7 linked regions of the Ovis aries genome follow. The protein of the gene in region 5 purifies or fractionates together with the protein of the main gene of each other region. This does not show direct contact. Links are inferred from orthologs where the notes say so. Each region holds a gene or a part of one and is shown on either strand. Other genes may lie near its edges.

Region 1 (4,049 bases), on a different chromosome or scaffold from region 5:
CTCTGTGAGGAGGCCTCTGGGGGGCGAGGGGGGCTCATCGGGGCCCGAATCCCCGGACACCTCCCCAGGCAGCCCCCCCAGGGACAGGGCAGCCGCCCCAGCGCCATCAGGCAAACTAAGGTCAGAGTCCGAGTCGCTGAGGGAGCCAGTGTCCGGAGGCAGGGTGTCGGCCTCCGAGTCAGGGAAGTGTCGGCTGTCCCCTGCCTCTGCCATGTGTCCCCAGACCACGCCACACCTGCACCAAAACAGCCCCGGGAGTCCCCGGACACAAGCTCACACCCACCACCCCAGGCAGGATCAGCAGGAAGAGCAGTGTCCCAGGAGGAAGGGCCAGCCCCCATCCCCACCCCCGCCACACCGACCATAAGCCCTCCTCTTACCTCCCCGTCTGATGGGCGCCTGCTGGATGCTGGAGGGCAGGTGGGTTGAATGCTGACGAAGGTTCTTGGTGGCAAAGGCCCCCTGGTACGGCTCTGCTCAGCGGCTCGGTGACTGGCTAAGGGCAGGGAGGGACAGCCAGCCATCAGACCAGATGGCGGACAAATGGAAGTGGTGCCAACATCCCCGGAGTGGGCCTGGGTTTACAAAGCCCCCAAAACAGCCAGGCCCAGGAGCTGGTCCTTTTGACTTGTCACCTCCCTCAGTCCTCGCCAGGCAGGGTTGACTAGAGCCACTAGGGGACCCGCACGGGGTGGTCTGGTAGAGCAGCCGGCCGGGGTGTCAACCCAGGGTCACCAGCAATCCTCGCGCTCCCTCTGTCGGCCACGTGTGGTAGTGGCAGGCAGTACGCTCAGCTCAGTTGCATCCGACTCTTTGTGGCCTTTTGGATTGTAGCCTGCCAGGCTCCTCTGTCCGGAGAAGGCAAGGGCACCACACTCCAGTACTCTTGCCTGGAGAATCCCATGGACGGAGGAGCCTGGTGGGCTGCCGTCTATGGGGTCGCACAGAGTCGGACACGACTGAAGCGACTTAGCAGCAGCAGCAGCAGCAGCAGCAGGCTCCTCCGTCCATGGGATTTTCCAGGCACGAGTACTGGAGTGGGGTGCCCTTGCCTTCTCCGGTAAATAAGGAATGAATGAGTGACATGCAGAGCATGTAATTTTGTGCTAAAGCAGGCATCACCCTCCTCACACTGGCTAGCAGCTGCAGGGGTGAAACATTAAAACAAAATGGAAACTGAGGGTATTCCGGCCATTAACTGAGTAATTTTTCACTTCGGAGAAAGACTGTCACTGTTTCGTTTTGACACAGCGCCAGTGTTTCCACACACTAGCATATTCAATTACTTTCTAATGGATTACAAGGAGTCATGAAGGGTGATCACTCTTTTCAAAAAGTGAAATTACAGAATCGACACTGTATCAGTCACTAGTCTAATCGTGGTAACTGACACGTCCTGTGGTGGTTCCACGTGATAGCTTATTACGTTTTCAGGTCAGTGAGTGCTCAGAGGGACGGAAAACAGCTGACAGTCATGGCGGGAACTGCAGACTGGCTCACTGAACAGCTCGAACTGACTCAGTCAGACTTCACAAACATTTGCTGTGTGGATGAGGAGTACGTTTATTCACTGTGCTAACAACTGCAATAAAGAATTTTAGAGCTTGCTGCGGGATGCTGCCTGGGAGCAGGGCAGGCAGGAAGTACTCCACAAAGCCGGAGGCACCTGCCGGCTCTGTGGGGAGGAGGTGTGCTCCTGAGTGCAGAGATGCCCTGGCAGCTCCAGAAGGGACTGCAGCCAGGTCCTTGACATCTGAGGGTCAGGCTCTCAGGAAGCTGGCTCAGCCTTGCTTGGCAGAGGCCGGCCCCACAGCTCCTGAGGCAACCTCCAGCGACATCTGTGATCCTCCACACACCCTTCACTTTCCCAGTGGAGCACAGAAGTCCTGCCAACACCTGGTTAGCATTCCAGTGTCACCAAGCACCCTGAAACTTGTTTCCAGGCTCAGAGGACAGGCCTCAGCCTCCACCAACTTCCTCTTCCCACCAGGCCTCCCTTGCTTGCCAAGGGTGACTCTGTTGCTCCTGCACCCACCAAAGACCAGGCCAGTTGGACCAGGAGTGGCTCCGAGTGCCCTGCTCCAGGTCAAACGCAGGCGAGATCTCCATTCCTCTGGGCCTTGCATGACTCCCCAAATGCAGGAACAACTCCAGGAAAGGGGACACGAAGTAAACGCCAACGGTGTCTGTTTTAGGGCTGGCAGGACAGGAGTGGGGAGATAATTGGCCCGTCATTCCGTACACTGGAGGCAAAGCTGGAGCTTCGACCAGCCTCCGGCTTCCTAAATTTGCACTCCCGTCCCCTGGACGCCCGTGATCAGTGGGACACTCCGAGGGGAGCCAGGAATCGCGCCCCAAGATCGAGCATGCCAGGTCTGCGTCTCTTGAGTTCTCTGAGAACTTCCTGAGCTCACTGGAGGGCAGAGCCGAGTCCAGGCTGACGGAGGCGCGGTTTTCTCAGGGCCGGGGTCGGGGCTGGCCAGGTCCCAGGGAGCGCTGGCTTCCTTGAGGGTTGTCTCTCTCCCCTAGGAGGCAGAGCCTTGATTTTCTCCACTCCACGCGCCCAGAATCTCGGCGCGTGCCCAGCAGGCGCTCGTTGTCAGCTGCCTGAGTCCTGCGGCCAAGTCGGGCGGGGGCGGGCCAAGGGTGCGGGCCTCACGAGGGTCTCCCTGGTTGGGGCAGCAGACTACGGACAGTGGCCCGCTGAAGCCGGACGGGTCAGCAGCGCGGCCCTCCCACCAAAAACCTACCGGCTCACTTCGGCCTGGCTGCCTCCATCTTGAGCCGCGCTCAGCCTCGTGGGAAACCGAGTCCCCCGCTGGCCGATGGCCGCTTCTCCCGCGCCTGAAGAACTACATCTCCCACAAGGCCCCTGGCTCCCACGCCTGAGGCCTATCGGGAGTGATGACTTTGCGCATGCGCTGCCTTCCCTACAGGAAACCGTGGCGCTCCTTCGCGAAGAGACCGGAATTGACTCAGGAAGGGAGTCTGGGTGAGGAGGCAGGGCTGCGACTCCCAGAATGCTCCAGGGCTAACGGCCAGAGCCTCGTTCCTGGTACTGTAGCCCACTTTGCCGGAAGCTGCGAGAACCGGAAGTGCGTCAACGCATCCCGCGCGGTTCCCAGGCACTTCCGGTGCTGTTCCGGAGCAGCCGTCCCTGCTCTTTCGGGTCCCTGGAACCGGGCCGCGGGGCGTGTCCCGCGGTGTACATTTGTCCCGCCCACTGGACGACTCGGGCAGGCCGCCGCGTGGCAAGCCTCCTGAGGGAGGCGCCCCGGCCTCGCCTGCCGATCGTGACTGGTCATTTCTGCTCCGAAAGTGAAAGTCTCCCAGTCGTGTCCGACTTTGCGACCCTGTGGACTATTCAGTTCAGTCGCTCAGTCGTGTCCGACTCTTTGCGACCCCATGAATCGCAGCACGCCAGGCCTCCCTGTCCATCACCATCTCCCGGAGTGCACTCAGACTCACGTCCATCGAGTCACTGATGCCATCCAGCCATCTCATCCTCGGTCGTCCCCTTCTCCTCCTGCCCCCAATCTCTCCCAGCATCAGAGTCTTTTCCAATGAGTCAACTCTTCGCATGAGGTGGCCAGAGTACTGGAGTTGCAGCTTTAGCATCATTCCTTCCAAAGAAATCCCAGGGCTGATCTCCTTGCAGTCCAAGGGACTCCCAAGAGTCTTCTCCAACACCACAGTTCAAAAGCATCAATTCTTCAGCACTCAGCCTTCCTCACAGTCCAACTCTCACATCCATACATGACCACAGGAAAAACCATAGCCTTGACTAGACGGACCTTAGTCGGCAAGGTAATGTCTCTGCTTTTGAATATGCTATCTAGGTTGGTCATAACTTTTCTTCCAAGGAGTAAGCGTCTTTTAATTTCATGGCTGCAGTCACCATCTGCAGTGATTTTGGAGCCCCAAAAAATAAAGTCTGACACTGTGGACTATACAGTCCATGGAATTCTCCAGACCAGAATACTGGGATGGGTAGCCCTTCCCATCTCCAGGGTATCTTCCCAACCCAGGGATTGAACCCAGGTCTCCTG
Region 2 (3,500 bases), on a different chromosome or scaffold from region 5:
GGGGTGGCTGTGTGCTGGTGAGTCTCGTTGACGTTAGGCATTTCGTGCAGAGTAGTATTTTGACGGTGCTTAGGGAGCCGCAGTGGCAGTGCTCCTGCCAGAATCACTTGCTGTCACTCAGGCCTGAATCTGCCTCGTGTGGGGCACCCTCAGAGCTCGATCTGCTGCCATGGACTGGCCAGCCTGTGGCTGAGTTGGTGGAAGCATGTTCCAGTCGGCACAGCCTGCCTGTCAGGCAGGAGTGTGAGCCTGACTTTCTCTGGGCTTGGGGGTCTGTTCCAGGGTGACCTCGTCTCCTGCAGGGTAGCCCCCCAGCAGAGCAGCAGTGACAGGCAGACCCTCCTGTAGTACCGCGTTAGCCTCTTAGTCCTGAAACCTTATCCCTGCCCAGCGTTGCACTGAGTTCTGAAGTATAGAGCAGGGTGCGCCACTGCTTGCCCCAGAGGCAGCGGGTCCTGCCCCACTCGGGGGGCCCTGTGCTCAGTCTGCTCCTCCCCTCTGCCGCTCAGGGGCCATCCAGGTGGTGGTCGCTTCTCGGAGTCTCTGCTGGGGCATGAACGTGGCCGCCCACCTGGTGATCATCATGGACACCCAGTACTACAACGGCAAGATCCACGCGTGAGTCCAGTGTGCTGTGCGTTCACGGGCCCCTCTCTCCTAAGATGAGTGTAACCTCTGCAGATCCGGAAGGCCACTGTTGTGAAGAAAAGGTGTTAGGGAAATAAATAGCTAGCTGAGATTCCACCCCAGCCAGGGTTTTATTTGTGCAGACTTATTTCTGATGCTTGAAGCTGCTCCTAGGTTTGGATTTGAGTGGGGTGGGCTTGATCACTCATGAACCATATGGCTGTGAGGTCTGGGAGCCTGCCTGACATACGAAATGCTTTAACATGGAGTCATCTGGCTATCGCCGTTAGATGGGTTGGCTTCCCAGGTGGCGCAGTGGAGAACCCACCTGCCAATGCAGGAGACGCAGGTTCCATCCCGGGTCGGGAAGATCCCCTGGAAGAGGACATGTTGGCCCTCTCCAGTGTTCTTGCCTGGAAAATGTCATGGACAGAGGGGCCTGGCGGGCTGTAGTCCATGGGGTTGCAAGGAGGTGGACGTGAGGGAACAGACACACACACACATTAGATGGATTAACACCTTTGGTTCACAGACCCTGAGCAACAAAGTCCTGACTCTTAACACTTGAAAACTAAACTGGTCTGTAGATAACCTGTGACACTAGGGCCTGAGCACACTCACAGAGGTTTGCTGGGATTCTCCATGTCTCCCTGTATCTGCATTTTATTCTTCGACTTTCAGGGAGGCAGTGTCCTGAGTCCTCTTCTCCCTCTGTCTCCAGGTACGTAGATTACCCCATCTACGACGTTCTGCAGATGGTGGGCCACGCCAACCGCCCTCTGCAGGATGACGAGGGCCGCTGCGTCATCATGTGCCAGGGCTCCAAGAAGGTCAGCCCCGGCCTCTGGCGCGGGCTTCCGAGCCTGGGCCTCGGAACAGATTCTTTAATCTCTCTCTCCATAGGCGTCTTTACTTACTTCCTCATGTTCTCTCTGTCTTCTTTTCTTTCCACATTGCCTTTGTAACAAGCCTTTCCCTGTGTAGAATTTTGTAGCCTTTGATTTTTGTTGCTGCTGTTGACTCTGTGTATTGAGATCTTAACCCTCTGGCTGGGTCTGTCTTCCTCATGCCTTGCTCAGCCCTTGGGGCTCAGTGTACCTTCCTCCGTGGTAGAAATAACCAGTGATGCCGGGGGAACCGGCATACACACCCAGCTCTCCAGGTCCAGACCCAGCTCACCTTGTCTGTGCAGCTGGTCTCTTCCGTTTCGTACGAGCCGTGCCTGTTGCACGGCGGCCGTATTTGCCCTTGGCCTTTCTCTGACCGTACTGTCATTGACTGTGTGCTGTACCGTCATTGACATTTTTTCCCGTAGGATTTCTTCAAGAAGTTCTTGTATGAGCCTTTGCCGGTGGAGTCTCACCTGGACCACTGTATGCATGACCACTTCAATGCCGAGATCGTCACCAAGACCATTGAGAACAAGCAGGATGCTGTGGACTACCTCACCTGGACCTTCCTGTACCGCCGCATGACGCAGAACCCCAATTACTACAACCTGCAGGGTCGGTGGCGGCACTGCACGCATCATCCTCTGGTGGTTGGCACAGCCCTCATTCACCGTCTCCTCGGGACACCCCTGCTTACCTGTCACCTTCACAGGCATCTCCCATCGTCACCTGTCTGACCACTTGTCGGAGCTCGTGGAGCAGACCCTGAGTGACCTGGAGCAGTCCAAGTGCATCAGCGTCGAGGACGAGATGGATGTGGCGCCCCTGAACCTGGGCATGATCGCCGCCTACTATTACATCAATTACACCACCATCGGTGAGGGCCGGCAGGGCCTGCAGCCACGGGGACGACATGACGAGGCTTTCAGGGCCTCGTGTGCTTGTCAGAGGGACGCATTGCAGGGTGGAGCCGGGCTAGCCCAGCAGTTAACTCTGCTCCTCCTCTGCCTGCTTTGACTCCTCCAAATGTCCTTTCTTTCCTCTCTCAGAGCTCTTCAGTATGTCCCTGAACGCCAAGACCAAGGTGCGAGGGCTCATCGAGATCATCTCCAACGCGGCCGAGTATGAGAACATCCCCATCCGGCACCACGAGGACAACCTCCTGCGGCAGGTGAGCGCGTCTTGGCTTCTGGAGTGCGTCTTCCGAGCCGCGTGAAACTCGGCCCCCATACCCAGAGCACAGGATCCCGCTCTTGGGTCAGGAAAACTCCTACTCCCCTGCCCCGAGCTCCCTCACACACTCCACACACATCTCAACCCCCACCACCCACAGCCGTCGTCTCCTCCTTAGCGTGGAATGGTTGTGGGCCTGGGGCGGGTGGTGCTTTGGCCCTGAGTGCGGGTCTCTTCACCAACCGCTCTTTCTTCTGCTTTCCAGCTGGCCCAGAAGGTCCCCCACAAACTGAATAACCCTAAGTTCAACGACCCGCACGTCAAGACCAACCTGCTTCTGCAGGCTCACCTGTCCCGCATGCAGCTGAGTGCTGAGCTGCAGTCGGATACAGAGGAGATCCTCAGCAAGGTATGGAGGCAGGGCGCCGCGGGCATGGAGGCCTGGGCGGCCCATGCGGCAGCAGTGCCCACGCCTGCTCTTGCTCTCTGGGCCCTCTGCAGGCCATCCGGCTCATCCAGGCCTGTGTGGACGTCCTCTCCAGCAACGGGTGGCTCAGCCCGGCCCTGGCGGCCATGGAGCTGGCCCAGATGGCCACCCAAGCCATGTGGTCCAAGGACTCCTACCTGAAACAGCTGCCGCACTTCACCTCCGAGCACATCAAACGTTGCACAGACAAGGTGAGCTGGGCCTGCATCGCAGTGTTGGGTGGCCAAGTCTGGAGGCCAGGCATCCTGCACTGGGGTTGGTTGTGGGAGGGGAGGTGTCTCGTTTTGGCTTCTCTGAAGGTGTTACCCAAGAAGGCGCCAGGG
Region 3 (2,458 bases), about 12 Mb from region 5:
TCTCAGGCCACTGTCCTCCTTTGAGAAGGGAACAGAGAAGGTTCAGGAGGTTCTGAAGGCCCTCCGTGCCTCCCCAGGGAGCCCCGGGCCCAGTACCCTGCACAAGCTGACAGTGGGGGGTCGCCTGCCCACCTCCTCTTGTCCTTGAGGGAAACACCCTGAAGGACAGGTGGCCTCTACACCCCCAGGCACACCAAGAGCCTGACCAATGGGCCCTAGATTGTTCCCAGGGTTACACAGGTCAAACAGTCTGGCTTTTGGCATTAACACAATGGAAACAACTGTCTTGCTTACAGCTGTTGAACCAAAAAAGGTTCACTTGTAACCTAAATTCCATGTGACCAGTGTCAGCAGGCCTGTCTGTCCTGCAACCCAAGACCCATGTTGGAATAAACTGAAAAGTGCCAGAGACAGAGAGCGCAGAAACCTGAGAAGGAACCAGGACAAGGGAAGGAAGGTCAGGGGCCCTCCCAAGGGTCATGACCAGGGAAGACTGCCTTGTTCTGGGGACCTGGAGACCCCAGCAAGAGGACTGGCATTGCCACCAGGACCCCTACTCACTTGGCCACAGCCAGGAGCACGTGGGGGTCATGCTCACACTTCTTCAGGGCATCCACACTCTTGGTTTTCCGCTGGGGCCTCGCCTCCAGGAAGATGGCTTCAGACCACAGGACCCCTGAAATCCAGACATGCAGATGCCCATCTCAGCCATCATACACAGGGAGGCCTTTGAAGACTCAGGATATCCCCACCTGTGCCTCCTGCGTGGCCGCACTGCCTAGGCCGCCCCCCTACTCCATACCCTCCAACCTCCACCCTGGCCCAGAGCCACAGGGCCCCACTGACAAGGCCATGGTATCATCCTGGGGGCGAGGAGGCTGGAAGTCCTAACAGCCTCCAACGTTTCATACTCACTGACTAACTTCACAGCTGAGAATTCACTGTAACAAAGTAACAAAAAGTGCTACCAAGGATTTATGCAGAAAGATAACCTGGGATTGATACCAGCCTAGAGATCGGCCTGAGGCCATATACCTGACATAAACCCAGAAAATTCTACGATGCCACTAAACTGTTCATTGTTAAGGATTCAGTGATAATGAAAAATCCTCACAGAATTTTCAACTGTAAAAAAAAAGGGGACAAAACAAAATACACAGTATGACTTGATTTTGTGCAATAATACAAATTGTAAAAATACAAAAAAGCTAAAAGCAGTGATTTCCGAGTACTGGGCTCATAGCAATTTTCATGTTCTCTTTTTTTACTCCAAATTTATTTATACTGCACATGCACTAACTTACAGACTTGGGGTAAAATAGTAAAAAATTAACTTCTAAAAGAAACAGAAATGGTAGCATCTCAGAACATGCGGTCCAACTGCCCACATTGAAACTTGAGTTCAATCATCTAAATGACCAAGCATAATGGAAGAATTTTTGTGCCTGAATCTGGCACCTGCTGCCCACAGCCTGGGGTGGGTGCTCACCAGAGTTGGGGCACTCCTGCAGGGCCTTGGCCATGAGCGTGCTGGCGATGTTCTTCAGCCCCGCACGGTACTCCAGCCGCACAGACTCCAGCCTGTAGAGAGAAACCCGGGCAGGGTAGAGCACTGTCCACTGGCAGCCTGATGACGAGCAGAAGGTCCTGAGGAGCCTCAGTAGCTGGAGTTGTTTGTGCTGCCCAGCAGCTCGTCCACCAGAGAAGGGAGACGTGGGTGATCCCCACCCTTAAGCCTATGGGCGGCCATAAACCTGGAATCTGAGGTCATCCAGGTACGAGTGAAGATGGGAGGATAAAGACAGGCCTGCTGGTGGCTGCTGGGGCACCTCAGGGCACTGACACCCTGAAGCCCCACACCTGGAGTCTGTGTGCACAGCCTCCTATGGACAGAATGCCATGTTTATCTGGCAAACTCCTTTTCATCCCTCAAGGCCCCTCTCAGATATTACCTTTTCCGTAGAGTCCACTTTCTTGGCATCATTCACCCCAATGCCCCCTCATTAGCTCTTGGTTCCTGGACACCCTCAATTCCACCACAAGCCACACTGTGTCCAACTATCTTCAGGCTAGTGTGAACACTCTCACAGCTGGAACAGGACTCCCCACAGACTGCACCTTCCCACGGAGCCTCAGCTGAAAGTGCTGCACCGCAGACTTGGTATGAGCGCAGTCAGCTCCTGGGGGCACGGGAACTCACCACAGGCCGGGGTTCTTTGGGTTCTTCAGGCGAGACTTCTCCAGAATGGCCCGAGCTCGGGTCAACTGCCCAACCTTCTCCTCCAGCCGGGAAAGCAAGAGCCACAGTGGGGTGGAGTGGGGACATTTCTTCAACTGCAGCCACAGACACAAGAGAGAAGACTCAGCAGGTCTCTGTGATGCTGTCGGCACCTCAAGCTGAGTCAGGATTACATGTGCCCTCAGAGACCCAGCCACTTCACACCCAGGTCTGTCACTA
Region 4 (4,128 bases), on a different chromosome or scaffold from region 5:
CCTCCCCTCCACCAGGGCTTGAACCCATGCCCCCTGCAGTAGAAGCATGGAGTCCTACCACTGGACTGCCAGGGAAGTCCCAGCCCACTTGTTTGTTTGTTTTTTTAATACTAAAAGAATTTTAATTTTAAAATAATTAAATACAGGAAGTTGCAAAAACAGTGCACATCACTTTTTCCTAAGTTATTTGAGAATAAGTTGCTGACACAATGTCTCATCACCTCCTCAGACTTTAGTGCAGAAGTTGGTAAACTATAGCCTGTGGCCAAATCTGGCTGTTCTCATAACGGCCTGGAAGGTATGATTTTTAAAATATTTTTAAACAGTTGGAAAAAAAAGTCAAAGGACGAGTGTTTCATGATACATGACAATTAGTTCTATGAAATTCAAATTTCAGTGTCTATGAAAACAGCTTTACTAGAACACAGCCATGCCCCTTTCTTTATACCGTCTGTGACTGCTTTCAGCCTGTAACAGCTGAGTAGCTGCCTCTGAGACTATATGGCCACAGAGCCTAAAATACTTACTATCTGGCCCTTAATAGACAAAGTTTGCCAACCCCTGTTCTTAGCGCACATGATTCCTACAAACAAGGACATTCTTCTGCATAACCACAATACAACCATCAAAATCAGAAAATACTGACACATCACTACACCTAATCCACAGGCCCCCATACAAGTTTCAGAAATTGTTCCACTAATGTCCTGCACAGCAGAGGATTCCATGTTTGCACCTGGCTATCATGTCTTCAGTCTCTTTCAATCTGGAACAATCCTTGGCCTTTCCTTGATTTCTGTGACTTGACGCTTTTGAAGATTACAGGCTAGTGAGTTTGTAGAATGTTCCTGAATTTAAGTTTGTCTGATGTTTCCTCATGATTAGAGTCAAGTTATGCTTTTTTTTTTTGGTAAGACTATCACAGTAGTGAGGCTGTGCTCTTTTCGGTGCAACTCCTAACAAGTGGCATATGATTTTAATTTCTCCCATCAGTGGTGATGTTAACGTAACCACTTGATTGTGGTGGTGTCTACCAGGCTTTTCCACTGTATAAAGTTACTTGTTTTCTCTCCGCAGTTCATAAATATTTCGTGGGCTGTCTCCACTTCAAGTATTGAAATTCTATTCAAAATAACTGTTCAAAGACCATTTCCTTCAAGTCTTCCTTGAGCCTCAATTTCTCACTCACCTATGATGCCACAGCCTTTTGTGTCTTTATCAGCATTTACTTCTGTCATCAACGGTAGTTAACTGCATTAACTACCCTCAACAACAACTCTACAGCTTACAAGTAATAGACAACAGACCAGAGCATGGGTTACTGGTCAGGGCTCTGGAACTGGCAGACCTAGATTTGAATCCAAACTTTGTCACTTAATAACTATGTCACTTTCAGTAAGCCCTTCACCTCTCCAAGCCTGTTTCTTCAATTGGAAAATAAAGTGATTAATTTTCACCACATAAAGCATTATGAGAATTAAAAAAAATAGGCTGTGTAAAGAATTCATCATGATTCCAGGATCAATCAATGTTAACTGGCATTATTTTTTAGCCATTCTTTTGTCTGTTTTATTTGTATTTTTTAGTTAAAAAACTTTTTTGGCCATTCTTGAATACAGGAACCCTGTGCTCCTTGTGCCCATGTGCCAATGCCCAAGACACCACTTCACATGAGTAGGCACTAGATAAATGTTAACTGACCAGAAGGTTCAATTTTGAGATACTGGTATTTCTTCCACAACGGTAATCCCTCCACCTCCTTCAGTGCCCCTTGTGGAGTGCTGACTGTGGATAAAATAGAGAATTAAGAGCTCCACTACTAATAAGTAAATGTGATTTATCACAGAAACTTTCATATGCATATTCTTTTTATTTCCAAAGAGCTATCATCTCTGTGCACATTTCATTCTCCCAAGACACCCATGAAATGACTGCAGAAATTTCTATACAAGGCTGTTCATGAAATAATCCAAGTCATTTCTGCTTCAGGGCCACTGCACTTACTCTTCTCTTCCAAAATGCTCTTCCCTTGGGCATATATACCTTGTTCCTTCATCTCACTCAGGTCTCTACTAAAACAGCACCTTCTCTGAGAAACCTTCCCTTGTCACTCTAAAAAACTCCCCCCCCCCACACACACATTCTCCAACCCCTATTTTCAATGTTTTATTATTTTTATTAACATTTATCATTAGCTGACAAGTATCTTCGTGTATTTACCGTCACCTCTCCAACTACAGTTTAAGCAAGGACTGTTTTTGTTTTCACTTAAAAGGGTGCCTGCCACAAAACAGAACCACTTACTGAATGACGAAATGTATGGCCCCAACAAGGCACAGAGAAGACAGCTGACCTGCCCACAGTTGCACAAAACTAGTGAATTTCGGTACCAAACTTCACTGCAGCTTCCCGCTACAATGCAGGCTCTCAAAGGAACATAGAGTAACGACGGAGGGAGCTTGATAGAGAAGTGAAGGCGGCACAGTTGGAAGAGAGAGTAAGATAGGGGAATAGACACTGCAAGAACGACCCCTGCCCAGGGAAAGGGTTTTATAGACGGACGACACGCAGGGAACCCAGGAATCGGTTGGGGGGTGGGGGGGCTTTCATTCTCTATCCTACTCCACGCCTCAATTTACCCATCTGTAAAGTGAAAGTGGCATATAACACATAGCATCTCTTCCAAATCTGACTAATTTCCCATTCCACCAGAGCAAGCCTCCCCTGACGCTGACCAGCGCCACTCACCTCCCGCTGCTCAGCCAAAAACTCCCAGTCGGCCGCTGGAGATCGTGCTTCCGCCCCACGCCGCCTCACCGCCTGCGCCCGCCGTTCGGAAGGACCCCACAGGCGCCGCGGTTGCGTTTCTTCCCGGGAGGGCAGCCCTCTGCCTGTGGACCAGCTCGGAGGAATCCCGGCTGCGGACACCGGAACCTGAGAAGAGGAACTGTGGGTCCCCAAACCACGGCGTGGGCTGCTCCAGAGAAAGCGAGGCCTGAGGAGGCGTGAATCTGATCAGGCGCCTCGGGGCCACCCTGACTGGGGGCCTTCGGGGCGATCACGTGGGAGGCTGTTGTAGCAGTTGCTGGGCAACCACAGCTGCTGGGCGTGGTCTACGCTGAGCTGACTTCGTCGGGCAGTGTCTGGGCATCCCCAAAGAAAGAAAGGAAACCGAGGCCCCGGCTGCTGGGGTGAAGGTCAGGGGGCAGGAGGATTAGATGTTCTAGATTTTCAGTGACTGGGAAAGGCTTAGAACTAGGCAGGAGTCAGGACACCTGAGTTCAGTTCCTGGCCAGCCCACCCTACTTCTTGGTCTTTCGCTTACCCATGTTAGGGTGGAGGGTTGGTTTTAGGCCTCCTGCTTCCGTGTTGGGGCTTGCCTGGTGGCTCAGACGGTAAAGAATCTGCCTGCAGTGCTGGAGACCTGGGCCAGGAAGATGCCCTGGAGGAGGAAATGGCAACCCACTCCAGTATTTTTGCCTGGGAGATCCCAGGGACTGAGGAGCTTGGTGGGGATGACTTCGCCAAGTGATCTTTAGCAAATAGCTCGGAGCAGTAGTAGTAAGGTTCAGAAAGGTCTCACAGCAGTAAATGCGGATCCAAGATTAAAACTCGTATAGGTGATCTCTATAGAACGAATCAGTCAGCCTCAGACACCCGGAAGTTGCAGAAGTACAGAGACAGAACTAAAGAGGTTGCCCAAGTACCTAGAGATTTATGCTCCAGCCTTGGGCTGGACAGAGGGGTTTGAGAACGGGGATCATTAAGCCCCTTCCTCTGTCGCGTCCACTTGATTTCCTGCTCAGTCATTGCATCTGGTTTCGGGTGGAAAGTATCTTTTCTCCTTATAAGACATTTAAGTATGGGTGCTTCCCTGGTGGCTCAGATCATAAAGAATCTGCCTGCAGTGTGGGAGACCCGGGTTGGATCCCTGGATCGGGAATATAACACTGGAGAAGGGAATGGCAACCCACTCCAGTATTCTTGCCTGGAGAATTTCATGGACAGAGCCGCCTTCTGTTCAGTTCAGTGCAGTCGCTCAGTCGTGTCCAACTCTTTGCGACCCCACGAAGCGCAGCACATCAGGCCTCCCTGTCCATCACCAACTCCCGGAGTCCACCCAAACCC
Region 5 (3,980 bases):
AGTCAGTGATGCCATCCAACCATCTCATCCTCTGTCGTCCCCTTCTCCTCTGACTTCAATCTTTCCCAGCATCAGGATCTTTTCCAGTGACATAATTTTCTACCTTAATTTTCATCACAGGTAAAGAAAACGACACTCAAAGAGAAGACAGTTTTTGTTTCTGAGTTTAATGAGCAAGAACACTCACTGCACAGCTGGAAAGACATCAGTTAAAGAAAAGAGACATGTTCAAGACCACACAAGGACCCAGTTAGAACCCGGGTACCCTGCCCTCCAGGCCAGCGTTCTTCCCACTGTGCACTCCGAAGCTCCTTCAGATCTGTGCACTCTTCAGATCTCCTTCTCATAACAGAAGATGAAGGTGGAGAATGCCTGGTTGGTCCACTCTAAAGGATTAGTGTGCCTAAACTGTCTTAAACTATAATTCTGTCTAAAACTTAGAAGATTCGAGAAGCATCCACCCAGTTTCCCATAAGCCTCAGCGGAGGCCCAGAAATGGACAGAAAGTGGAAACGGGGTGCTTAGCATCTAAAATTCACAAGAGTATTGTAACGTAAAATAAAGTAAAATAAAATAAAATAAATAAAATTCACAAAAGGTTTGGGCAGTGGAGAGCTTTTCAACCACAACCCTCTTCTCCTGCATATATACAAATATACATATAAAATATATATATATATATAAAGAAGTCTAAAGTCCAGGGAGTGAAACAACTTTCCAAAGGGTCCACAGTCAGTAGCACCTCTGGACTGCTCACCCAAATGGATCCAGGTGGCATGGCTGGCCTCGGATCAGTATTTAGAAGACCAAGACCTTAGAACATTTATTTTTATCTACCTCTGAACTACCCAAGAGGACACACTGATAAGACTTCTGTAAACAGACATAGTCTCTGTATTTATAAGGATGGGTCCAACATGAACTAATTTTAACAGAACACGTCTAACTCTCTAGTCCCAAGACACCTACCTATTCAATTCAACAAATAACCTTGGAGAGCCTGCAGGATTTTTGCCAGACACGAACAGAAATAATCATGGAGAAGACAGTTACTGCCTTCCAGGCACTTCCAATCCAGCCAGACATATCAACAAGACCACAAAACTTCACAAACAGAAGAACCAGCTGCCTGTTTAATTCCTTTTACTCATTTTATTTAAACAAACAAAACAATACCATGAGGAAAGGAAGACCAACACTTTTCCCAATATGGAAAGGACATATTTTATTGTCTTTACCCAAAACCCACACAAATGATTATGACTCTAAATCAACATTTTTTTTCAAACTGCAAGTCACAATCTGATAATGGGTTAAAAGATCAACTTAGAGGATCTCAACCAACATTGTTTGTTGTTTTTTTTTAAATAAAAGGGCAAAATTTTAAAAAATCAGAGTACATCCTAAGAAGTAAAGCGAAGTACTGTTTTCTGAAGCTTTGTGTGTCTGTATGGACTCTTGGTCACCATGTAAAATGTATGCGTTACTGTAGGTCACAGTGCAAAAAGTCTGAAAGCCACTGCTCTAAATAATTTATATCATCTTACTATCCCCAATCTTGAGTTCAAAAGGCACTTAATATATTTATTAAATGAACAGCTATTGCATTTAGAATAACTGCTCATCAATTAGCCATTTTCCCAGTGGCATCTGTGTGCTCCTCTTTGATAATGCCACTTCTTTCTTTCTACTTCCAGCAGATTGTAATTCTCTTCACTATATCTTCCACAGCTGGCAAATGACCTGGCACAAAGAAGATGCCTTGAGATACAGAGAATCACATCTACCCACTTCTCTCCACCACATCCTTAATCTAAGCTACCATGTCCCTCAGCCAGATTGTCCCTGCAATCCCTTCTCCATCCAAAAGCAGGAGTGACCTTCTCAAACCGCCAGTCTAAGCATGTCACCACCCATACTTAACATCCTCTGAGAGACTTCTCACGTGGCTCTTGGCAAACCAAAATTCCCACTGCGACCTACAAGGGCTGTATGGCCTGGTCCATGGAAACTCCTCCAGCTTGTTTCATATCATGCTTCCTCCCCAAGCTCTGCTGCAGCCACACTGACTCTTTCAGACCCTCAAACAGAGGCTCCCCTGATAGAAAACTCTTCCCTCCTCTCTGTCTCAAACCATTTTTCTGATCTCTGCTTAATATTTACCTTCTCAGCAACGCTTCCTCGACCTGGGGCTAAGTCAGATCTCCTGTGATGTGCTCTCAAAGTGCTTTTTATCTTTCCATTTCACTGATCACAACTGCAAGTTCGCAAATATTAATAGAGGGCTGTCACCTCTAGGAGATGCGGGTCTTTCGTACCTCTAGCACATATTAGACGCTGGCTAAACATCTGTTTTTAATAAAAGCACGATATCCATGTTGTAGATGAGAAACAAAGGCTCGGTTCGTGGAAAAGACCTTACCGAAGATAGAGAACACCAGAACCACGTCAGGCGGAGCCAAGGCCTCCGAGCCCATAAGTTCTAAAGTTAGGAAAAAAGAAGTTTCCCAGGTGCCCCCACAAAGTTCTGGCGACGGCGTATCTGACGGTTACAAGGGGAGCAATAAGAGTAACCCACCTGAAAGAGGCAGGTCGGTCCCACCACCGGCTCAAGACCGGGACGCCACAGTCCCAGCTCGGTGCCCGAGTTCAGGCCCTCCGCGATCCCCAGCCGGAAAGAAGGGTGGCCGGACCACACAGACAACGAAAGCAGAACAGTTGAAAGAGGACAGGAGGCTGCACTCACCGACTGGTGTCTCGCCCAGGTCCAGGGATCGCAGAAGCGCACCGGAAGTTCTCCCTCTATAGCGCCGGAGGGGAACAACAGGGGAAAGGGGCCGGGCGGGTCCCTGGGTCGCGGAAGAAACGGCCCGTGCCAGCAGGTTCCGCCCCATGGAACATTGCCTTTGGCTACTTTGAGTTGCTGGATTTAGTTCTTGAACCCGTGGATAATAACTTTCATCAAACGATGCATTTTATATCCAGGTACAGAAACACATCCGCAAGTCACGGCTTTTCGGTTTCAATCAGTCGTGGTCTCTGAGGTTCTGGTCAAGGTCCTAGCTGTCCAGTAGCCACAGTCAGAGGCTCAGTCATAGTCCTGGTCAGCCGATCTCAATCAGAGTGAGTGTCACAGTTGGCCCTTTATCACCTGGTCTTGCTTCCAACCATACTCAGCTGTAGGGGAGAGCTTCAGAAACCCAGGCCAGAAAGACCCAGTCTAACAGCCGCAGTCACCACAGTGATCCTTCCTGCCATAAACACCCGATATCTTCTGGCAGTGCAGGCCTAGTATGAAATCTTAGGTAGGCTGTATATGCACCTTGAGGCAGGGAACCTGTCTTGTTCTCTGCTGTTTTTCTGGAATCCACACAAAGACCCAGTTCAATTATTAAATATTATGCATTTAATTAATGACAGTGATTCTTTATTAATTAGTGACTTCTATTTTGGAGCCTAGCTCTGTGCTGGGTGGTTGTATCACTCAGGGTTCAATCAAAGAAGCAGAGCCAGCGGGAGGTATTTAAGAGCTTTATTACAAGGAACTGGCTTATGTGATTCTGAGGGCTGCCTAAGGAAATTCAAAATCCAGAGGGCAGGCCCCTTGGGTATATGATATCTAATCCTTGCACTAACCCTAGTAAGCAGACTCGGTATTCCCAACATGCAGAAGAGAAAACTGAGGCTCCGAGCAGTTGCACAGCCAGAGAGAGGCCAGGCTAGAATGCAAACCAAGGTCTCATTGGTGACTGGCTCTTCTTGTCTCTGTGCTGCTGCTCTTTAGCTTGCCTGTCACAATTCCTCAGTGACAGCTGGACATGCCCATCTGTCTCAGTCAAAATTCATCTCTTAGTGGGTTGCAGACTAGACTGGGCCCTGCAGTCACGGTGGATCACAACGAGCTGCCCCAGGATTAGCCAGAGATGGCCTCTATCAGTCACAGTCACGCGTGTCAATCTCAGCCTGTCATGTCAGTTCCA
Region 6 (4,205 bases), on a different chromosome or scaffold from region 5:
AAGTGTATTGCACCAATTTGTAATTCCATCAGCAATGAAAATTTTACTGGGCGTTTGTTTTAAAGTCTGGACACTTAAATAAAACTTAACATATGTAACAGACAGCTAATATATCCCCGCAAAGTGTTAACAGACAGTAAATATCACAGTTTAAAAGGCACAGTGCTACAGAGAACTATAAAAAGAGAGAGAGAGAGACCTAAAATATATTCCAAATTCTCCTGAGCAATTTATGCCAATTTGGCCTTTTGTGCCTGGGTTTCCCCATCAACAGCAGTATGGAATTAAACCAGGTATCAGAAGAAATGAAATGTTATCAAGATGAAATGCCTAAGACATTTCTAATAGTCAATAGTACATATATAATGTTCAATTATTCATGGTCTGATGAACTGTTACAGACTATTCATGGGTTTTGCTTCACTATTTTTCTCTTCTATTAACACACCAGAAGAAGGTAAATAAGAATAATACAACTCATGCCAATCAATTTTGCTAATGACAGAGGCCTTATCCAGATTTTACTCCCAAGAAAATTCCCCATCCTGACCAGCACGCTCCCTTTCTCCATCACCTCTATATTCACTCAGGTTCTCTTATCTCTGCCTGTACCATCAAGGCTTAAGGATCACCAGGTCTCAAAACTCTTCTGCTTCCTTCCACCCTGAACCCTGATGCCAGCATATTATTCCTAAAGAACGCTTATCACATCACTACCCAAATCCAAAAGAAAGTCATCCATGACCAAAACTCTGAGTACAGCATTCAAAAGAATCTTCCACAATCTGGTTTCAACTTATCTTTTCAGGCTTATCTTTCACTATTACCCTTGAACTATCACAGTACTCTTCAACTGGGGGCAATTTTGCCTCCTAGGGAACATCTGGCATAGCTAGAGATATTTTTGATTGTCACAACTGGGACATGACGTGGGAGGAGGGGTTACTGGCATCTAGCGGCATATTTACTGCCTGCTATAAAAGGTGCATTCTCCAAGCCCAAGTGGTCCTCAGCTATGATACCAACCCACTGAACATGTAGCAGCCATCTGGGCCTCTCCATGTAACTCTATAGATAGGAGTTGGAAACAAGAGCAACCAACACAAACGGGGTGCTCAGACTGCCTGCTCTACTATGAGGTGCCTCTCACTCAGGAGATTCATGTGTTCTGCCAGCTTCCATGAAACGGTAACAGGCGATAAAGGAGTCACTTCTAGAAAGAGTAAAATCAAATCCTGACAGACACCTCTTAAACACCTCTCTAACACAATTTCCCTTTCCAAAACAAGCATTGGATTCAGCAGGCAATACCACCTAATAACACTGTTTTGTTTTCAAAGTATTTATATTTACAGTTACCTTACCAGTGGCAACTATCACAGGAATATAAAGTCTCCTTACAAATATTTAACTACATGGGAATTCCCTGGTGATCCAGTGGTTAGGACTGTGCTTCCACTGCTGGGGGCCCAGGTTCGATCCCCAGTTAGGGAACTAAGATCCCACAAACTATGAGCAAAAAAAAAAAAAAGAGAGAGAAGGCATTTAACTACAAAAATGTAAACTGACTTAAAGAAAAATATTAAATAAATAATAACGAGGGTGAATACGGGGATGATAATGGAAGAATAACTCAAGTTCAGGAAACACTGAAACCAATCAAACTGAATTACTAATTGAGACCTACTTTCACAGACTGGGCCCCTAAGTGAAACTCTTCATAAGGGAATCCTGGAATCCACCCTCACTTCCCACAACAGAAATCTTCACAGCAGTCTGATCTCCCATCCTATAACCCCTCCCCAGGATAGTATGAGGAAGCACTGTGATTAAGAGAAAAACAGTTTCACAGAAAACTAGTCGGACAGAATGTTTTAAAGTTTATGAACAGGATCTGCTGACAGATTTTAAAATGGCTAAACTTGCCTGGAAATCTCTAGTCAACATAATTGCGAGTTTCCCCCAGGTAGGATAAATCCCTTTCTTCTGGAAATTCCCGTGGAACTTCATCTGTAACTATCCCAGGTCATCTTTTTCTACAGCGCTCTTCTGCAATACACTTTTATTTCCAAGACATATATCTCGCAAGATACATATCTATCTTATGTCCCCTACTTTACCGTTAAACCTGTCAAAGACAAAAATCTTATGTCTGATCTCTGTAGCCCACAGCAAGCATACAACAGATGCTCAAAAAAAAAAAAAAAAGTTAATTATCCCCTAATTTCTGTTTATGGCAGTTTAATCTTAATGATGTTCAATTCACAGTAAGTCCCAAGTGCCTCACAACAAACTCGCGATATGCTTACTATACTTCCTTTCTATAAACGAGGGACTTGACCTCAGTCACAGTACTGCTAAGCTGCAGAAGCAGGATTCGACCTCACAGTTTTTGATTCTTACGCGTAATTCCAGAATATGGACTATGGCCCTCCCCTGCGCCAATTTCGATCCTGCCTCCCCCGTGACTGCAAGACCTCACCAGAACCCCCAGCGGAGTCCACAGACGACAGTGGGGTGCGACAGGGTCCCGAACCGCTGGCCGGAGTATCCGCACGGGCCCGGCAAGCGCAGCGAGTCGGGAGGCTGTCTACCTTGGTCCGAAGCCTCGAGGGCCGGAGAGTGGCAGGGGGACGGCGCGGGGCAGGGGCCCACCTGCTCAAAGCCGGCTCCTCGTCGCTAGGCTCCTCAACTGCGTACGGATCATAGTCGTCTTGGAGGCGGTTCATAGTGGCCGGCCCCTCCGATACCATCCACAGGCGTCTGCCGAACGACTGTTTACTCCGCAGGTCCCTTCCCTAAAGTGCTCCGGCCCAACTTCCGCCCGCACTTCCGAGTCCTTTATGCGCGCCTGCGCGGATATTCCCAGCGAAGGGCTGGTACTGCAGGCGGGTCCGGAAGACCTGCTGCTCCCCTTCGCAACAGGAATAAGTTCCTATTCGGAAACATACGAAGCCGCTACCTTATTACTGGAAGTTGCAGTGAGCACCCTCATAAGTGGCAGTATGTGGGATGAACACTCCACGTGCCGTGTTTCACGTTGTGACGTGAAAAACCAGAAATCTATGTGCTGAGGGACGTGTAGCCTTAGATCAGGGCCAGTAGGTCTCCAGACACTAGCATTCAACGTCCCTCCAGCCTCGTCGCCTGAAACCCTTCTACCTTTTTTTCTCGCGCTACTGCATTGCTTTCACAGTTCTCCCTTCTCAGTCTGACTTCGCCCTCGTCTGTCTTCCAAAAAGTTGCTAAGCTGTCATTCAATTCAGTTCAGTTCAGTCGCTGAGTCGTGTCCGACTCTTTGCGACCCCATGAACCACAGCACGCCAGGCCTCCCTGTCCATCACCAACTCCCGGAGTTTACCCAAACCCATGTCCATCGAGTCGGTGATGCCACCCAGCCATCTCACCCTCTGTTATCCCCTTCTCCTCTGCCCCCAATCCCTTCCAGCATCAGGGTCTTTTCCAATGAGTCAACTCTTCGCATGAGGTGGCCAAAGTATTGGAGTTTCAGCTTCAGCATCAGTCCTTCCAATGAACACCCAGGTCTGATCTGCTTTAGGATGGACTGGTTGGATCTCCTTGCAGTCCAAAGGACTCTCAAGAATCTACTCCAACACCACAGTTCAAAAGCACCAACCTGCCATTACTTACTTCCTAATTTGCCTATCTTGACCTCTTCTTAGTCCCGACCTTTTCTCGGCCCTTACCTTACATCCGCTGGATATGCCAGATGAGATAGATGACGGCGTCTTGACTGAGAGACAGTTTCTTCTGTTTCTCTACCAGCCTATACTCAAGCGTCTGCCGCTTTAGGGACAAGTGACCCCTCTTAATGACCCAATTCAGATGACTACTCTGTCTTATTTAATCCTTGCCCTTTCCTCTGATACTTTGTCGGATTTCCTCTTGCTTGGCTAGATACCTCCGCCTGCTGCAATTCAATCAATGTAGCACCAGAGCGGCACAGCATCTTTCACCCCATTTCTATGCCTCAGCCAAAGCTACTTTTGACTCAGTTTCTGCTCTTACCACTTCCTGACATCCTTAGAGTTGCCATAGACTGAGAATCTTGGAATCGATTGGACTCCTTTGTCCCTCCTTTGCTGACAAAGGGCTGTCTAGTCAAAGCTGTGGTTTTTCCAGTTGTCATGTATGGATGTGAGAGTTGAACCATAAAGAAAGCTGAGTGCTGAAGAATTTATGCT
Region 7 (2,983 bases), on a different chromosome or scaffold from region 5:
CCATGGACTGTAGCCTGCCAGACTCCTCTGTCCATAAGTTTTCCAGGCAAGAGTACTGGAGTGGGTTGCCATTTCCTCCTCCAGGGGATCTTCCTGACCCAGGGACTGAACCCATCTCTTGCATCTCCTGCATTGGCAGGTGGATTCTTTACCACTAGTGACACCTGGGAACCCACTTCCCTGGTGGCTCAGACGGTAAAGCATCTGCCCGCAATGCGGGAGACCCATGTTCAATCCCTGGGTCGGGAAGATCCCCTGGAGAAAGAAATGGCAACCCACTCCAGTACTCTTGCCTGAAAAATTCCAGCGACACCTGGGAAGGGGGGATGCAAAAATGAGCAGACTCTTCAAATCCATCCAGATCTTGGTAGGAAAATAGATGATCCATATTGAGATAAAGACAAGGTATTTTAAAGGTAGAACTGACTAGTTGTGGGACTGAGTATGAGTAAGGTGAGGCACTTTGGTTTCTTTGGAACCAGAGCTTTCAGGAGTGCCATAAATCGAGGCTTCATAGCTTTTGGCACAGTTGGTGAGTCATCACCCCCAATCTACCGCAAACTTAGTTCCATTAGGACAGGTACCCCATCTCATTTGCTCTTCGGTGTATTTTCTTTGGAAGTCGGAGGAGCTCAAAAATTTTAATGTTGCTTCCTCAAGAGGGGAAATGCTCCCAACACACCCTGTCTAGGCTAAGTACCCCTCCCTGGTCTTCCTTTCACTCTCCTTCCATTCTTCCCTGGTAGAATGGCCGCCCCTCCAGCGCAGGGACGCCTAATCTCCCATCGACTTGGCACAGTTAGTGCCTAGAGTAGGTCAGTTCAGTCGGTCAGTCGTGTCCGGCTCTGCAACTCCATGGACAGCAGCACACCAGGCTTCCCTGTCCTTCAAGTTTAGTCAAGATTGGGTTTTGGAAAAAAAAATAAAAGATTGGGTTTTGCCAAAGCGCTTTATGATGCTAAAAGCAACCACTAGGGGGCGGGCTGGTACCGACCGAGCTCCCGGCAGACGCCCTTTTCCTACGCTCCCACCGCTCAGGGCGGGGCTACCTCACGAACGGCCCCTGTGCCGTATCTCGGGTCAAGTGGGGGGCGTAGCTTGAGCTCCGAATGCGGCCGGAAACTGCCGAGAAGGGCTTTGACGAAGCTCTCCGTCGGCCCCGCAAAGAGGCGGAAGTAGCCGAGAAGCGCCGGAAACTTCCGATCTGCGGCGCGTGTGAGTTCTTTGGCTGTGCGCTGCGCCAGTTGTCATGGAGCCGGCCGGGCCGTGTGGCTTCTGCCCCACTGGGGAGGCCCAGCCGGCTCGCTACACTTGCCCTCGCTGTAACGTGCCCTACTGCTCGCTGCGCTGCTACCGGGCGCATGGCAGCTGCGCCGAAGAGTTCTACCGTGACCAGGTGCTGGGAGAACTGCGCGGTCGCAGCGCCTCGCCCAGCCGCCTGGCCACCGCCCTGCGCCGGCTGCGTCAGCAACGTGAGACCGAGGATGAGCCCGGGGACGCAGGCCTCAGGCCTGGCCCGGCGCCCGGCGGCCTCTCAGGACTCTGGGAGCGGCTGGCCCCGGCCGAGAAGGTGGCCTTCGAGCGGCTGCTGAGCCGAGGCGAGGCCGGGCGGCTGTTGCCTCCGTGGCGGCCATGGTGGTGGGGTCGCGGGGCCGGGCCGCGGCTTCTGGAGGAGCTAGGTGATGCCCCAAGCGGCGATGCCGAGGAACTGGAGCCCTCCTCCGCGAGGATGCCGCCGGAACCCGTGAGGGATGAGCCCGCGGCTGTCGAGCCGGTTCTTGGAGACCTCCCCGGGGCCTGCCCTCCCGCCGTGCCCACCCGGATCCCCGCGCTGGCCAGCCTGAGCAGGGGCCGGACGTCGCCGCTTGTGCGCTTCCAGCTGCCCAACGTGCTATTTGCCTACGCGCACACTCTGGCCTTGTATCACGGCGGCGACGAGGCGCTGCTCTCGGACTTCTGTGCCACACTGCTCGGCGTTTCCGGAGCCCTGGGCTCCCAGCAGGTCTTCGCCTCTGCCGAGGAAGCCCTGCAGGCCGCAGCCCATGTGCTGGAAGCAGGCGAGCATCCCCCCGGACCTCTGGGCACACGGGGAGCCATGCGCGAGGCTGCCCGCATTCTGCTGGGTGAGGGCCCGGCCAACCAGAAAAGCTACACGCTGGCAGCGCTGGGGGACCTGGCGCAAACCCTGGGCCGGGCCCGGAAACAAGCGGTGGCCCCCGAAGAAGGAGATCGCCTCTACCGGGCCCGAAAGAAATGCCAGTTCCTTCTGTCTTGGACCAACGAAAATGAGGACGCCCTCACACCCCTGGCTCTAGACTGTGCCACGGCCCACCGAGCTCACACTGTGGCAGCTGAGGAGGTGGCAGCCCTCACGGGGGAGCTGGAGCAGCTTTGGGGAGGCCCCCTGCCACCTGCCCGGAGGACTCTTATTGAGGAGCTCCCCGGCTGAACCCTTTGTCATTAATAAAGCTGTGACCGCTCTGCCCCGTCGCCAGTGCCCATTTCTGAGTGGTGGTTCTTGTGCCACCGTCCCCCAGACTCTTGGGCCCACAAACTGCCTGTCAGCTTCTCCTTGACTGGGGCTGACCCAGCCAGTCTTTAAACAGCCTGGCCCAGAAAGGGAGAGAAGCAGCACCAAGGATTCCAGCTGTTTATCTAAGGAGGAAGAGCAGCACACCCCCCCTACACACCCACTCCATTTTGGAGCACTGGCTTCATTTCCCCCTTGCTCCAGCCACTTATCAGGCCGTTCATCCCAGTGTTTTGGAGCTCTGGGCAGGGTAGGGTACAGGCCCTTGTGTCCCGGGTGCGTCCAGGCTCCTGGTGCCCAGTGTGCTGGCAGCTGGGCAGGCACGTGCCCCAACCTGGGGTGTCTGGAGCTGCTTCAGTAGACGTAGGGCACGATTCGGTAGGGCACACGCTGGCAGTATTCGTGCCAGGCTAGGCCGTACTTCTGCAGACACTGCCGCTCATCCCGGTCCTC

The links.
Region 1: the proteins of AAR2 (region 5) and TSSC4 purify together in Homo sapiens (affinity purification with mass spectrometry; 3 studies listed by BioGRID and IntAct, counting the BioPlex papers as one, with this or other methods). This does not show direct contact. The link is inferred for Ovis aries from reciprocal best matches to the Homo sapiens genes AAR2 and TSSC4.
Region 2: the proteins of AAR2 (region 5) and SNRNP200 purify together in Homo sapiens (affinity purification with mass spectrometry; 5 studies listed by BioGRID and IntAct, counting the BioPlex papers as one, with this or other methods). This does not show direct contact. The link is inferred for Ovis aries from reciprocal best matches to the Homo sapiens genes AAR2 and SNRNP200.
Region 3: the proteins of AAR2 (region 5) and PRPF6 purify together in Homo sapiens (affinity purification with mass spectrometry; 3 studies listed by BioGRID and IntAct, with this or other methods). This does not show direct contact. The link is inferred for Ovis aries from reciprocal best matches to the Homo sapiens genes AAR2 and PRPF6.
Region 4: the proteins of AAR2 (region 5) and EFTUD2 purify together in Homo sapiens (affinity purification with mass spectrometry; 5 studies listed by BioGRID and IntAct, counting the BioPlex papers as one, with this or other methods). This does not show direct contact. The link is inferred for Ovis aries from reciprocal best matches to the Homo sapiens genes AAR2 and EFTUD2.
Region 6: the proteins of AAR2 (region 5) and EAPP purify together in Homo sapiens (affinity purification with mass spectrometry; 4 studies listed by BioGRID and IntAct, counting the BioPlex papers as one, with this or other methods). This does not show direct contact. The link is inferred for Ovis aries from reciprocal best matches to the Homo sapiens genes AAR2 and EAPP.
Region 7: the proteins of AAR2 (region 5) and ZNHIT2 purify together in Homo sapiens (affinity purification with mass spectrometry; 3 studies listed by BioGRID and IntAct, counting the BioPlex papers as one, with this or other methods). This does not show direct contact. The link is inferred for Ovis aries from reciprocal best matches to the Homo sapiens genes AAR2 and ZNHIT2.

What each region holds. Positions count from the first base shown.
Region 1 is NC_056074.1:45,569,345-45,573,393, forward strand, and holds the start of TSSC4 (U5 small nuclear ribonucleoprotein TSSC4), read right to left. Parts: upstream 2,801-4,049; 5' UTR 2,036-2,800; intron 497-2,035; 5' UTR 381-496; intron 236-380; 5' UTR 214-235; coding exon 1-213. UniProt on the Homo sapiens protein: Protein associated with the U5 snRNP, during its maturation and its post-splicing recycling and which is required for spliceosomal tri-snRNP complex assembly in the nucleus.
Region 2 is NC_056056.1:104,085,737-104,089,236, forward strand, and holds part of SNRNP200 (U5 small nuclear ribonucleoprotein 200 kDa helicase), read left to right. Parts: intron 1-509; coding exon 510-618; intron 619-1,348; coding exon 1,349-1,457; intron 1,458-1,942; coding exon 1,943-2,132; intron 2,133-2,229; coding exon 2,230-2,394; intron 2,395-2,566; coding exon 2,567-2,688; intron 2,689-2,955; coding exon 2,956-3,099; intron 3,100-3,191; coding exon 3,192-3,368; intron 3,369-3,500. UniProt on the Homo sapiens protein: Catalyzes the ATP-dependent unwinding of U4/U6 RNA duplices, an essential step in the assembly of a catalytically active spliceosome. Plays a role in pre-mRNA splicing as a core component of precatalytic, catalytic and postcatalytic spliceosomal complexes.
Region 3 is NC_056066.1:53,537,657-53,540,114, forward strand, and holds part of PRPF6 (pre-mRNA-processing factor 6), read right to left. Parts: intron 2,335-2,458; coding exon 2,201-2,334; intron 1,582-2,200; coding exon 1,490-1,581; intron 677-1,489; coding exon 562-676; intron 1-561. UniProt on the Homo sapiens protein: Involved in pre-mRNA splicing as component of the U4/U6-U5 tri-snRNP complex, one of the building blocks of the spliceosome.
Region 4 is NC_056064.1:44,341,667-44,345,794, forward strand, and holds the start of EFTUD2 (116 kDa U5 small nuclear ribonucleoprotein component), read right to left. Parts: upstream 2,801-4,128; 5' UTR 2,749-2,800; exon of another isoform or gene 1,702-2,748; intron 1-1,701. UniProt on the Homo sapiens protein: Required for pre-mRNA splicing as component of the spliceosome, including pre-catalytic, catalytic and post-catalytic spliceosomal complexes. Component of the U5 snRNP and the U4/U6-U5 tri-snRNP complex, a building block of the spliceosome.
Region 5 is NC_056066.1:65,348,252-65,352,231, reverse strand, and holds the start of AAR2 (protein AAR2 homolog), read right to left. Parts: upstream 2,801-3,980; 5' UTR 2,579-2,800; intron 1-2,578. UniProt on the Homo sapiens protein: Component of the U5 snRNP complex that is required for spliceosome assembly and for pre-mRNA splicing.
Region 6 is NC_056071.1:42,708,480-42,712,684, forward strand, and holds the start of EAPP (E2F-associated phosphoprotein), read right to left. Parts: upstream 2,801-4,205; 5' UTR 2,754-2,800; coding exon 2,656-2,753; intron 1-2,655. UniProt on the Homo sapiens protein: May play an important role in the fine-tuning of both major E2F1 activities, the regulation of the cell-cycle and the induction of apoptosis. Promotes S-phase entry, and inhibits p14(ARP) expression.
Region 7 is NC_056074.1:39,773,066-39,776,048, reverse strand, and holds ZNHIT2 (zinc finger HIT domain-containing protein 2), read left to right. Parts: upstream 1-1,230; 5' UTR 1,231-1,249; coding exon 1,250-2,449; 3' UTR 2,450-2,483; downstream 2,484-2,983. Other genes in the region: delta(14)-sterol reductase TM7SF2, read right to left, coding at 2,885-2,983. UniProt on the Homo sapiens protein: May act as a bridging factor mediating the interaction between the R2TP/Prefoldin-like (R2TP/PFDL) complex and U5 small nuclear ribonucleoprotein (U5 snRNP).